Linked DNA regions of Stegostoma tigrinum. The protein of the gene in region 1 purifies or fractionates together with the protein of each later gene. This does not show direct contact. Links are inferred from orthologs where the notes say so. Each region holds a gene or a part of one and is shown on either strand. Other genes may lie near its edges.

Evidence for each region. The genes of interacting proteins can lie anywhere in the genome.
Region 2: the proteins of rab11a (region 1) and evi5a purify together in Homo sapiens (co-immunoprecipitation; 3 studies listed by BioGRID and IntAct, with this or other methods). This does not show direct contact. The link is inferred for Stegostoma tigrinum from reciprocal best matches to the Homo sapiens genes RAB11A and EVI5.

What each region holds. Positions count from the first base shown.
Region 1 is NC_081386.1:35,467,197-35,474,687, forward strand, and holds the start of rab11a (ras-related protein Rab-11A), read right to left. Parts: upstream 3,001-7,491; 5' UTR 2,852-3,000; coding exon 2,812-2,851; intron 1-2,811. UniProt on the Homo sapiens protein: The small GTPases Rab are key regulators of intracellular membrane trafficking, from the formation of transport vesicles to their fusion with membranes.
Region 2 is NC_081361.1:86,050,577-86,057,641, forward strand, and holds the start of evi5a (EVI5-like protein), read left to right. Parts: upstream 1-4,065; 5' UTR 4,066-4,293; intron 4,294-7,065. UniProt on the Homo sapiens protein: Functions as a regulator of cell cycle progression by stabilizing the FBXO5 protein and promoting cyclin-A accumulation during interphase. May play a role in cytokinesis.

The sequences.
Region 1 (7,491 bases):
AAGAGCATCATCTTCACAAAATTCAAGCTGTTTTCCTCAGTGTTATGACAACCAAAGTTTAACTGATTCAAGTTAGCATTTCATATTCCTGGATTACAAAACAGGAAGCACTCAGTCTGAAGTTAACTACAGCAGAACAAATGTCAGATAGACCAGTGTCTGCAATACTTAGAGTGTATAAAAACCACACCATTGTCTGAAAATACAACTGGAGCCATGATGTCGTACTAGTTGCAATCCAACTTGTTCCATCCCATCACTATTGTCCCAGCTCTCCAAAAGTAGTACTCAGAGCAGTCCTCATCATGGTTTAGTGGGCTGTTGGGTCAGAGCAGTTACTCAAACAAGTATTAACACCAACACCTCAATTTTAGTATCATCTCTCAGAACAGTAATCCTCAGTTGATAATTGTACTCATTAAAAGCAACACACCCAGAACTGTTCTGTAACTTAAAAGCCCAAATAAAATGAGATGCCTTTGTTATGAATCGCTTTAAAATGCAAAGCATTTCCTTTGATGCAAAACCCAAAATCAGAATGTAAATAAAAAAGCACTAGAGATTAAAAATCCCAGTCTAAAATTGCTGGCTTGGGTGGTAGTGAATCAGGCCTCTCCATTTGTGCAAAATTGCATTTTAAATACTGGCACTGCCAGTAAACAGCATGACAAAAATCATTTGATGATCTTTTATTACGCCTTCATTTCCCAAAACTATTCCTTACTGCTAACTTGGCCATTGTTTCTCCCCAAATTTGTCACTTGGTACAAAGTGGACACACCCAACCATTCCTTTTTTAGAACCACTAGCCCTTGAACAGATTCAGTTGAATTCATGACGCAACATGGCTTCAAGGAAATCCGAACAAAGTGATCGCAGGTGGTGCCAAGAAATAGATTGCATCATTTAGCCATTGGTGAATTTTTAATTCAATTTAAAATTTCAACCTCGTAGAACATTCCTCCCTAGAAAAAAGTCACAAGCACAAGATTTCATTATTACTTTGGAACTAGTACAGTTTGCAATAAATTTATCAGGAATAAAGGAAGAGGTGGTAAGAGCTCAACAAGTACTCTGTAGACAGTACTGGATCCCTTTATGCTGCATCTGTTAGACGAAATCAGAAAGCCCAAGATTACAATACTTAGACGTCCATATCCTCACACCTGCTTCATTTGTTTTTATAAGCTACTCCAAATGTTACTCTCCTATACAACATAGCTATTTAAGTCCTTCCTTTCTCCAGTCCATTGGAGACCAGAAACTTTTCTTCCAACTGGAAGTGCTAGTTTCCAATAATCTACATTCAATCCACATTAAAAACAAGTTGTCAGTTAGTAGTGGCATTGCAATCGTTGTCAATTTTTTCACAAAAAGGATTTGTAATTTAATTCTAGCAACTCCCTATTCTGGAATTTCTGTAATTGCCAAATTTGCAAACAGTAAAATTAATTACAACAACATGAAGAAGTGGAAAATTGTGGTTATTCATAGGAGACATTCTCAAAGACATCAATGCTACTTAGCTTTGGACCAGCTGATCAGTGGTACACCATTGACAGGTGCTAAGAAACAGAAAACCTCCACTTGTTTCTGGTGTCAGTTCAGAACTGAATAGTGGATCCGCGTAATACTGATATTGGCTGCAGGCCCCAATTTTACTCCTCAGTCAGAGATAAGTCACAAGTTAAATGCAGGAAGATTAGTGATGACACTATTGGTACTTCATTGCTTTGTTACAGTGCTAAAAACACAGCTGTCAATTAAAATCCCTCAAAATCTTAATAGCTGCCACATTGTAGGGGTGGATGTCAGTGATCGAAGGTTAGAAGAATCAAGTGCCACAGACTGAACTACAATGTAGTACCTTCAACTGTTACCTCTTAAACGGTGAGTTATCTGTCTAGTCAGAATAATATCATGTTTCAAAGAAAGTTCAAAAGAAACCACTAAATATTTGACCCACTTAGGTTAAGTCACATTCTGTACACACACATGCCATGTCATATACAAGTATCTCCCCAACTACTTGAACCAAAAGTTCAAACACCACACAAATTGCAGTAGTTTGTTTAAAACTGAATTAATTTTCAGGCTTTGGATTAAAAAGAACCCCCATTTCAGTTGGCAGTCAAAAATGCACTAAGTGAAGTGAGCTTTATAGTCAAGAAAGTAGTAGTAATTAGCTACATTAATCTGGCAGACAAGGGTACAAACATTTCAGGCCTACCATTAGTCTATACAAATAAAACACAGTATGACAAATGTTTTCGAAAGCTGAAGAATGCCCAACAGTTGCAAGACAATTTAACTCTTCACCAGATCCATTCTACCGGAGTTCTTGGAGCTCACACCAATCCCTAAATTCGGGCCATTTCTCCTATATTAAAAACTCAGTTGAAGTCAACTAAAACTAACTCAGAATTAAGACATCGACAGTAGGCACTAAGGATGTTTTCTTTATAAAGGTTAAACACAGCAATGTCCAGTTTTGGGAAAGTACCTGCTACGTGTGAAGTATAACGACGGCCTATTCCCAAGTGAAATGCTCCCTCCTATTAATATGCAGCTCTCAGCAAAGTCTAATCATTAACAACCTTTTGGTTCAACAGCAACACCAACAAAGGCCGACGGGGCGAGAGGAGCGAGCCCCCAGGGAATGGGGAGATGGGCCGATGGGGCCTGGGTAAGGGGAGGGGGATTGATCGGGGGGAAAGAGGGCACTGATGCCCCATCAAGGGGCATGGCCCCGGGGCCCAGTCGCCCGACAGGGGGAAGCGGGCACCTCGCTGGCCGGGGCCGGGGACTCACCCTTGAACAGATAATCATACTCGTCGTCCCGGGCGCCCATCGCTCTCGGCTGAAAGTTCCACAGACTCCCGGAGCCGCTTGTTTCCGCTTCCGGTGCGAAGATCACAATCCGTCAGGAATTCTCCCAGATTGTATTTCCGCCCGACCGTGCCGGAAATTGTCAACAAAAAGGGAGCGAACCAATAGATTAATATACAAATAACACTGAGTCAATAAATAAACAATAACCAGGGTTAATCAATACATAAATAACACTGGGTTAATAAATAATAATCAGGGTTAATTAATACATAAGTAACACTGGGTTAATAAATAATAATCAGGGTTAATCAATACATAAATAACACTGGGTTACTAAATAATAATCAGGGTTAATTAATACATAAGTAACACTGGGTTAAATGTGTTAAGAAAGTCGATAATAAGTTAATTACTACGTTAACTAATAAATGATACTCAGTAGTTCAGTTCAATGATAACAGTCAACTTAATGAATCGTTTACAGTCTGATAATGTAAACTAAATAAATTAGTTAATAATAATAGTGGATTAATAAATTACTTAATACATGCCCCTGTAAGTCTGTTAATAAATGTATTAATTAGTCTTAATTAAATAATTAATAAGTGTATTAATATATTAATTTATAAACAAGCCTGTTAATAAATAACTGTATATAAATTAATAAAAGCTTTTGAAAAATTAGTTAATAACAGAGGCTTAATAAATTAAGTAATGGATTTGTTGATAAATTAATGAACACGAGATAAATAAATTAGTTAATAGTAACGGTAGATTTGTCAATAAATCACTAAGTTTGTCAATATCGTCTGAACCTCAAATCTTTTGGTTTTCGTTTGGGGCGGGGTCTGATACGTCATAGGGCGAGGCCATTAGATACCTTCTTTCTGATTGGACGCGGTCTGGGACCGTGACCGTGATGTCACTGCGGCGAGAAACATGTAGTTGGAGCGCCACCCAGAGGATGGCTGGGGTAACGATGTTCGCTCTGTTTCCCACTCAGACACCTCCCTGCACTTCCCATGGCGAACCCACACGTCTCCAAACACTGCAGGGTCCTCTCCTCATGAAGGGTGAATCTTGAGTCTTTCTGCCATATTGTGAGCTGTTTTCTTTCTGGAATGAGAGGGAGGCAGATATTACAGCAGGTGGAAAGGGATGGCACAGCTAATTCAGTTGGTACTAATGGAATGGTGTCACAAGTAAGTGAATAGACATCAGACATGTAAGATTAGGGGTGTTGGGGGGTTGTGGTGCGTGAGGGTGACTGAGGGAGAATGTCGCAGTCAGTTGTGAGAGTGGGAGAGTATGGTGGGAGGTGATTTATGATTTTATCATCACATGGATGTGGAAGCTTTGGAAAGGTTGCAGAGGAGATTTACTAGAATGTTGCCTGGTATGGAGGGAAGGTCTTACGAGGAAAGGCTGAGGGACTTGAGGCTGTTTTCATTTGAGAAAAGAAGGTTGAGAGGTGACTTAATTGAAACATATAAAATAATCAGAGGGTTAGATAGGGTGGATAGGGAGAGCCTTTTTCCTAGGATGGTGACGGCAAGCACGAGGGGGCATAGCTTTAAATTGAGAGGTGAAAGATATAGGACAGATGTCAGAGGTAGTTTCTTTACTCAGAAAGTAGTAAGGGAATGGAACGCTTTGTCTGCAGTAGATTCGCCAACTTTAGGTACATTTAAGTCGTCATTGGATAAGCATATGGACGTACATGGAATAGTGTAGGTTAGATGGGCTTCAGATCGGTATGACAGGTCGGCACAGCATCAAGGGCTGAAGGGCCTGTACTGTGCTGTTATGTTCTATGTATATTACAGTCAGAAACACAGTAAAATACAGTGAAAAGCTTTTCCACTGTTGCCATGATTTTGAATATTTTTAAGAATTAAAAAAGAGAGTCTGTCAGTTGTGAGCCAGCTCACCCTAAAGGACACCTGTAACGCCATCTCCCCTCCACTGCCTTGCCACCATCTACACTGGACCCAACCAACATTGAAATTGCCACTGTTCAGGTGACATGTTTTGCTGCTGTGCGGATTCTCCAATGTCACCACATGCACCAGGCCCAGGTGGGTGCAGTGTGAGAGAGTGAGGATGAGGTATCAGAGAGAAGATGGTGACAGTTATCCTGGTGGAGTGGAGAAGGACATTGACCTTCTTCCTACAGCATTGGGCATTCCTCGAAACACTGAGACTGCATTGACCCAAGAGTGGGGCTAAACTCAGTCCAGACTTTGCACGGCCCAGTGTCAGGGCCTCCTCTGCTGGTCCGTGGGGGAAGAGAACATCCCACATCAGCACCAACCCATCCTAGCAGGATCTCCAGCTTCCCAATCACACAGAGGGGCAGCGATTACCCCCTGTCATGTCCAGGGCAAATATCGAGAACCGTGCAGGTCAGCTCTGGATTGACAGTGCTTGCCCGGATGCAGAACAGGCTTTTATAGATGTTTTGCACATTTGGAGTTTGTGATTGTCCTCCCATTGAATTCAGAAGATGTGGTGGAGGCTGTGTGGTTGGAATTTCTTGAATATTCAGATTCCAGGTCTCACTGCTGTCCTGGATTATGATGATGACAGCTTTTTGTAAACTAGGAGCTTTGGTCTGCTGCAGAACTCTGTTATCTCAGCCTAGTCTGTACAAGGTGGATCTGGCACAGCTGAGCTAGTGATGGATCTACTTGTCAATAGTGGCTTTTTAAGATAGGTGCTGAGATTTTGCAAGTATTCTATATATTCCTGGACTCACATTCAGCATAAATGGACATTGAAATGTTTGGGTGGCCAGCTATAAATCCTCATAGCTACTAACATCAGAAGAAGAAACAGATTATCTGGCTGTTATTACATGCCTGTTTATGAATGTTTGCCGAGTGGATATTAGCTGCTGTGTTCCGTACATTACAACAGAGACTACACTTCAAAAAATGATCCATTTTCTGTAAAACTTTGAAACTGGCAGTGTCATGACAAGCACTGTATAAATGCAAGTCCTTCTTTTCAGGATCACCTGACTCCAAAAAAGCATTATTTTAGTAGTGTAATAAGCTTTAATTACTGGCAAGTAACTTGTGCCTCTGAAAATTATTTTTTCCCTGATATGAAGTTTGATTCTTTCAGATGTCGATTTTTTTGAAACATTTTTAAAGAAATTGTTGTGATTGAAAATCAGTTTAAAGCATAAGTAGAAATAGTTCAGGGATAATGGGAACTGCAGATGCTGGACAATCCGAAATAAGTGTGGAGTTGGATGAACACAGCAGGCCAGGCAACATCTTAGGAGCACAAAAGCTAACATTTCGGGCGTAGACCTTAGGCCTGAAACGTCAGCTTTTGTGCTCCTAAGATGTCGCTTGGCCTGCTGTGTTCATCCAGCTCCACACTTTGTTATCTCTATAATAGAAATAGTTGTTTCTTTTGTTTTCCATTTTAATCTAAAATTTCTTTCTCTCTCTTTATGAACCAGATTTGATAGTGAATCAAGTATTCCAGCAGAGACTTCACATTTAGATTCTTCAATTTGATTGGCTCCATAGTGACTTTCCTTCTTCACAGAAGTCAAAGGTGGTTTGCTTTTTTTTAGGAATTGGCTAACAGCAACTTTTCAATGCAAAATGTAGAAAAGGTTTGGTTGACAAGCTTAATATTTGCCCAACTCCAAAATCTGACCAATATTTCAAACTTTTTCTTTTAACAAGCATTTTTATCTGGATATGAGAAACTAATTTCAATGTTGTTTTTTATGTCAGATGCAGGATTTGAGCATTTTGTTTTTGGTAATCAATGTGACAAGCATCTTTCTGAAGGTGTAAAAGCCACTTCATCAGCTGTTAATGTACAGCCTTTGTGCTGCTTTTAACTTCCCATGTTTTAAACATGCATAAATCCAAATGGCCCCAACGTCCTAAACATGAATTTCACCAGTTTAAAAATCTCCTCATCCAGGCCTCATCATATGTCCAACCCCCCCCCATCCCTGCCTCCTTGACCTGACACAACCTGTCCATCTTCTCACCCACCTATCCACCCCTCCTACCTCACTGACCCATCCCTAACCTGCCTACCTGCACTCACCTATCACCATCCCACCTACCATCCCCAGTCCCACCCCATCCTCTCTATTTATTTTAGAGCTCCCTTCCTCCTCCCCATTTCTGAAGAAGGGTCCTGACCCAAAACTTCAATTTTCCTGCTCCTCTGATGCTGCTTGGCCTGCTGTGTTCTTCCAGCTCCACCTTGATCTGTCATTGATTGAAATTTTAAAGTTAAAATTTGATTTGATTTACTATTGTCACATGTATCGGGATACAGTGAAATGTATTGTATTGTGTGCTAACTGGGCAACTCATACCTTACATAAGTACATCAGGGCAAAAGAACTGAATGCAGCTTATGGTGTTACAGCTTCAGAGAAGGTGCAGAGAGAGATCAACTCTGATCTATAAGACATCTGTTCATAAGTCTGATAACAGCAGGGAGAAGCTGTTCTTGAATCTGTAGGTAAGTGTTTTCAAGGTTTTGTCTCTTCTGCCTGATGGAAGAGGTGGAAGAGTGTAACCAGAGTGATTAGATTTAGATTCCCTGCAGTGTGGAAACAGGCCCTTCGGCCCAACAAGTCCACACCGCCCCTTGATACATCCCACCCAGACC
Region 2 (7,065 bases), on another chromosome or scaffold:
CCAACAGGGTGACCTGTCCTTTCCTGTTTCTAACTTCAGCCCATACTATCTCATTAGATGAGTCCTCATCAAACCTCCTTTCTGCCACTGTAATACTGTCCTTGGCAAACAATGCCGCCCCTCCCCCTCTTTTACCACCTTCCCTGCTCTTACTGAAACATCTAAACCCCGGAACCTGCAACAACCATTCCTGCCCCTGCTCTATCCATGTCTCCGAAATGGCCACAACATTGAAGTCCCAGGTACCAACCCAAGCTGCAAGTTCACCCACCTTATTCCGGATGCTCTTGGCGTTGAAGTAGACACACTTCAAACCACCTTCCTGCCTGCTGGTACACTCCCGTGACCTTGAAACCTTAATCATGACCTCACTACTCTCAACCTCCTGTACACTGGAGCTATAATTCAGGTTCCCATCCCCGTGCTGAATTAGTTTAAACCCTCCTGAAGAGCATTAGCAAATTTCCCCCCCAGGATATTGGTACCCCTCTGGTTCAGGTGTAGACCATCCCATTTGTAGAGGTCCCATCTACTCCAGAATGAGACCCAATTATCCAGGTATCTGAATCCCTCCCTTCTACACCATTCATGTAGCCACGTGTTCAACTGTTCTCTCTCCCTAATCCTCATCTCGCTAGCAAGTGGCACCGGTAACAAACCAGAGATAATAACTCTGTTTGTTCTAGCTCTAACCACTCTAGCTCCTTGAATTTTTGCCTTACATCCCAATCGCTTTTCCTACCGATGTCATTGGTGACTGCATGGACCATGACTTGGGGCTGCTCCCCCTCCTCCTTAAGGATCCCAAAAACATGATCCAAGACATCACAGATTGGCACCTGGGAGGCAACACACGCCAACCGCGAGTCTCTCTCGCTCCCACAGTATGCGTAACGTGTATTAATATGTAGAAACGTTGACAAGTTAAGATATTCTCCCATCTGTTTTGGTTATTGACCAATAAATATTAATTGTATACTGAACCTATTCTTTTCGCAGCACCAGAAGGAATACAAGAGATGGAAAGGAGCATGGGAGTTGGAGGATGTGGAGCCAGAATGCATTAGACAGGACTCTAAATTGCTGGACTAAACTGTACAGATGATATAATTGAGCACCTGTACCTCTGAGATTGATAACTGGCCAATACCTATGCATGCCAGAGTGTAAACATAAACCACTACCACTAAGTTGGCTGCCTTGGGCTAGGCCAAGGGCCAAGAAGGGAGACCTGAAGAGTGTGGAATTGGTTTGACTTATTTCTAGTTTTCAGTCATATTATAAAAGCAAAACGGAACCACTAATGTACAGAGACATGCTAGAAGTCTAGGAGCGGCACAATCAGCAAGATAGTACCAGCCTTGGATGAAATAACAGACAATGTCTGTGAAAATCATTGGTAATCAGCCTTTCAGTGGGAATTCCTGCCCCTGCCAAACAGAAAGCCGTGGAATGTCCCAAAAGATAGCTAGAGAGATCGTGAGAGAGAAACACATGCAACAATATCCCCAAATGCCAACTAGAATGCATGGGCTGATTTCTGACAGATGGGTCAAGTTGTGAGGTGGATGTTCTTCAGTGGGATTTGGGTTCTTGTACCTGTGAGAAATTAGGTCTGAATGAGGGTAACATTGGATGGAATAGTTCTGCACCATTGAGACTATATTTTTCTCCTACCTACTTGTCCATTTCCTCATAAGAAGAAAGGTTTTCAAATTAGTTTTATTACGAGTGGAATTGCATTATGGGTTTAAATTAATCCGTTTTCCAACATAAAGAGGGTACTGGTGCAATGCTGTGTACTATGTTGCTTCATTCTTGATGCAGTGCAGGTCCTAGTTGCTGCTGGATTTTTCTGCTTGTTCAATGTGTTTTATTTGCCAGTTCAGTATTGTTACATTGTATAAGCACTATGCAGGTATATTACAAATATTTTTAATCTGCTCTGGTGTGCCTGATTTTTACTGTTTATATTGGTTCAGGGCTGAGTGTATTGTGCTGACTCAATGATCTTTCATTCCGTGGAGTTTGATCTGTGCTTGCTCAGGATTGTTATGCTGCATTCAGAACACCCCCAGCCAAGGCAATGCATCCTTTTCTTTTCCTTACGGTAGAAGATAGCCTTCTGTGTCAGTTAGCTGTTGGTTCATGAATTGTAATAATTTCATTTGTGTTCCACGTTGTTGCATTGCAGACTGCACGGGTTGAAGATTTTTGCAATACAATTGCTGCTTCCCTGGATCAGGATTGCAACCTGAAAGTTTTTACAACGTGTCCGTGCAACCCTGCCTCGGTGTCGCAGTGCGCGTTGGTTGAAGGCTTTAGTACTGCATTTGGTGTTGCCCTTGCTCCACTGATTAAGGGCTGTTGACTGAAAGTTTATACTCTGGGTCAGGTTTGTCACGTGGGTTTACAGAAGTTTCTGCACTGCATTAAATGCATTCCTGGCTCTGGGTGGGTGTATACTCTCATTAAACATTGGCTGCATGCACTTCGTGGCTACACTGCAGTGTCTCAGAACAGTTATATTGCTCTAGTTTAAATGGTAGTATTGCTTCAACTCTGGATGGTTGTATTGCATTGGCTCAGGTGGAGGCATTGCTCTGGCTTTTGATTGGTCCAACACACTGACTAGTTGCATTTCTGCCTTTGTCTGACTGCATTAGAACATATTGCTCTGGCTCAGATGGGCTGAATGCATTAAATGCTTCTGGGTGGCTATATTGTTCTGGTTTGGTAGGATGCAGGGAACAATGGTATTGCTTTATTACTAGAGCCTGGAGATGGACAGCAATTTTATTTTGTTTTCAAGTTTGGTGGCTATGCAAAAAGCTATTGCCCAATCTGAATTGGCCTGGAGAATCTAGTAGTGAGCTTTTTTTTGCAACAGTGCAGTCCATATAGTGTGGCACATCCACAATGTTGTTATGAAGGGGCTTTCAGCATTTTGACCTAGCATCAATGAAAAAATGACATATATTTCCAAGTCAGGCGTGTGACTTGCAGGTCAACTTCCATGTGGTGGTTTTCCCATGTATGAGCTACCCTTATCCTTCCAGGTGATAGAGACCATGTGTTTGAAAATTGGTATAAAGGGAGTGCTGGTGAGTTACTGCAATTTTACTCTTAGATGCCTCACACTGTTCTTACTGTGCATTGTTGGTGACGAAGAATGAACTTTGAATGCATAAACTGATGAGCTGCCAGTGCAGCAGGCTGCTTTGTCCTGGATGGAGCCAAGCTTCTTGAGCATTGTTCGAGCTGCACTCATCCTGCAAGGGAAGTGTGTTCCATCACACTCCTGACTTGTACCTTACAGAGGGCCATTTAGCTCAGCTAGTTGGGTTAAATTCCAGCACCAGCTGAGATTACCACGAAGGACTTTCCTTCTCAACCTTTTCCCCTCAATTGAGGTGTGGTGTTCCTCAGGTTAAAACACAACTTTCGAATAAGAGAGCAGTCCGAAGATCCAGTGAGGCGATGGCAAAGTGGCTTTGGGAGTTGAATACCTCCGTCCTGCTCTTGTAGCCTCAGCGATCGTCAACCATGATACCAGCCCAGAGGTGCTGCTCGGACAGGCTGGGGTTGGGGAGAAATGGTGCGGACAGTTCTGAGACAACAGTGTGGAGCTGGATGAACACAGCAGGCCAAGCAGCATCTTACGACTACAAAAGCTGACGTTTTTGCCTGGACCCTTCATCAGAAATGGGGGAGGGGAGAGAGGGGGAGGCTGATCGAAGATGGATAGAGGATTACAAGAGAGTTGCAGTAGGAGAGGGTTCCCCTGAGGTTTATCCGGAAGTAGGAGGGTAACTTCTTGAGGTTCGGCAGTGCTGATACGCGCGCGCACCCGCTATGGTGGAGACAAGCACCGTGGGCGGAGCAATGTTGATACACGCAACAGGGCGGAGGCACGCGCCGTGTGCGGGGCGAGAAAGGGCAGCGCGGATACGCGCGCGCACCGCCAGGGGGCGGAGCCACAGCGCCGCTTGCGTGCGCCGATGGAGAGGGGCAGGGTCTTTGGGGATAGGGGTGGGTCTGGCGTCACTCGCTCCGCCCCCTCAGCCTTTGGCGGGGGGAGGGGATGGGAAGAGTGCGTCTCCGGGACAGGGAGAGTGTGAGAAACGGGCTGGTCGGCCGGGAGGTGTAAAGACTGAGCGGACACTGAACCGTGGCAGGGACACGAAGAGCAGGAGGGTGAGGGGCGGGATGGTGCTCGGATCTATGGAAAGTTAATCTTTAAACCCGCGAGTAAGCGGAAGAGAGAGACGGTGTGGGTGAAATATTTCCAAGGTAAGGGCCGGCCGTTTAATTATTAACGCCCGGGGTCGGCGCTCTCGGGGCCTTTCCCGCCCCCCACCCGCCTCTCAAACCCCGAAACTAACCGCGCGAACAGCGGGACTGTGGGGAGGGGAGGAACGTAGGTGCTTGGGGTGCAGTAGGGAGACCCTCGGAGGAGGGATCTCCCGAAATGCGCCTGCCGAGGTTGGGGCAGTCAGTGGGGAAGAGCCAAGCGGCCCGGTGGTGGTGAGGGGAGAGTTGACTGTAGGCCCGAGACTTCCGTGTCCAGCATTTGAGCGGGGAGGCTACCTGCGCTCCTGTTCTCAGGGATGGGTATTTTGTTTGGGGATGGATGGTCTCGCCTCTGATCTGCGATGGGATTTCCCTGCTCCTCTGTACTACGCAGTGAACCCGGGCCTGGCTGTAAAAGCAGCATCGTCCCGATGTCCGAACCAGGACATATTAAAAGCTTACCCGTGTCATTTTAATTCATTATCGATGATTTCGTTGAGCTTTGTCTTTTGAGGCGCAGCTAAAAGGGCGGATTAAATGCTTTTTTAAAGGCGCAACTTTTTTTTGTCCATTTTCAATGTATTCGTTAATGGTTGGGATGGGGAAGTGAAATTCAATCAATGTTTTGCTGCCTGGATGACGTTGAATTAATTACTACATCACCCTGGGCAACTGAAGTGACATTCTGCGTGATTGTTATTTTACTATCATTTTGATTCGTGGTTTTGTTTCTATATATTGTAGGTGGCACTTTTGAATGTATAAGACGCGTGCATAAAACTCAATTTTATTTTACATAGTCAGTAATGAGTTCACTGCACTTTTGCATTTTTGGGACCTGGATGAATATTCTTTTTCCCCACCCCACTGGTGCTGTGGCCAATTTTTGCACCTTAACGCTAATTGGTTAACTTTGGCTAGTTCAAGACTGTATTGAATCTCTGATTATTTACATTCACTGACTGCAGGTGAGGGTCAAGAGAAACTATAATGCTGCAGAAATCAATGCCTTCAGATAGGAAAGAAGAGAACATTTCCCGAAGAAAGTTCATACGTGAGAACCAGTTGGTGCAGCACTTTCCTGTGTAGTGTATGTTATATTTTAAGATGAGTGAATTATTTCACATTAATGTTGATTTTCACAGAGAGCTGACAACACTGTGTGCAAATGGCAAAATTGCTAGAGGTGTTATGGAATAATGTATTGATAGAAATATGAATTTGGAATAACAATGGTTACTGAAGAGAGTTAGTGAAAACCACAGGCTTCAAGCTTGGTACCTTCATAAATGTGTGATTGGAATAGTTGTGTGGGCCACTTAATTTTTACAGAATCATAGAACTGTTACAGTGCAAACGAAGGCCATTCATTCTATCATGTCTCCATCCGCTCTGAGTGATTCACTTAGTGCTGTTCCCCTAGCTTCTCTTCGTAATCTTGTGCAAGCTTCGTTTTTGGATAACAGCTCTTTTGAATGTTTCAGTTAATCCTGCTTCCACCACACTCGGGTAGTGCATTCCAGACCTTAACCATTCATTGTCAACTCTCTTTTGCTCCTTCTATCAATCTCTTTAAATGTATGCCTTCATTCTTGATCCTGTTATGAGTGGTGAAAGTTTCTCCCTATTCACTCCATCTACACGACTTGTAATTTGAATACATCTCTCAAATCTCTTCTCTGTTTTCTTTGCTCCAAGGAAAACAGACCTATCTTCTCTAATCTATCATCTTAACTGTTTTTCTTCATCCCTGGAACCATTTTAATGAACATTTTCTTTCTTTCCAGTGCCTTCACATCCTTCCTAAAGTATGGCGGCCGGATTTGGTGCAGTACTCTAGTTCAGACCAAGCTAGTGTTATATGCAAATTTAAAAGAAGTCCATTGTTTTGTACTCTATGCCCTATTAATAAAGCTTAGGATCTTGTATGATTGTTGAACCATGCTGTCAACTGTTGTACCACCTTCAATGACTGTTGCACATTTGTTCAGGCCCCTCTGCTCCCGCACCCTCTTTAGAGATGCTCTCTTTACATGAGGTCTACATGTAATTCTGACCAAAATGAAATAATTCACATTTCTCTGCATTGAATTTCATCTGCTATCTATCTGTCCATTTCACCAACCTGTCCTTTTTGTACCTTAAAGTTCTAAATTATGACCTGTGCAGTTCGCAATATTGCCATGTTTTGTCACATATAAATGTTTAAATTGTACCATCTGCACCAAGGTCTAGGTCATTAATATCTTTGGAAAATTAAAGCTCCCAATATTGATGCCCTGGGGAGCTCCATTACAGATCTTCCTGTAGTCTGTTTTTAAAAAAAAATCCATTATTGAGTCAGTGTTATACAACACAGAAACAGACCCTGTGGTCCAACTCGTCTGTGCCAACCAGATACCCTAAACTGATCTAGTTCCATTTGCCTGAATTTAGCACATATCGCTCTAAACCTTTACTATTCATGTACCCAGCCAGATGCCTTTTAAATGTTGTAATTGTACCCACCTCCACCATCTCCTCCGGCAGCTTATTCTATATGCACACCACCCTCTCAGGTCCCTTTTAACATTTTTCCTGTCTCACTTTAAATCATTGCCCTCTACGTTTGGAATCCCTTACCCTCATGATTGTCTAAATCTTCATAAAAGTCACCCCTCAGCCTTTGACATGACAAGGAGAAAGTCCTGGCCTTTTCAGCCTCTTCCTATATTTCAAACTTTCCATTCCCAGTAACATCCTTGTAAACCTTTTCTGAACCCTTTCAAGTTT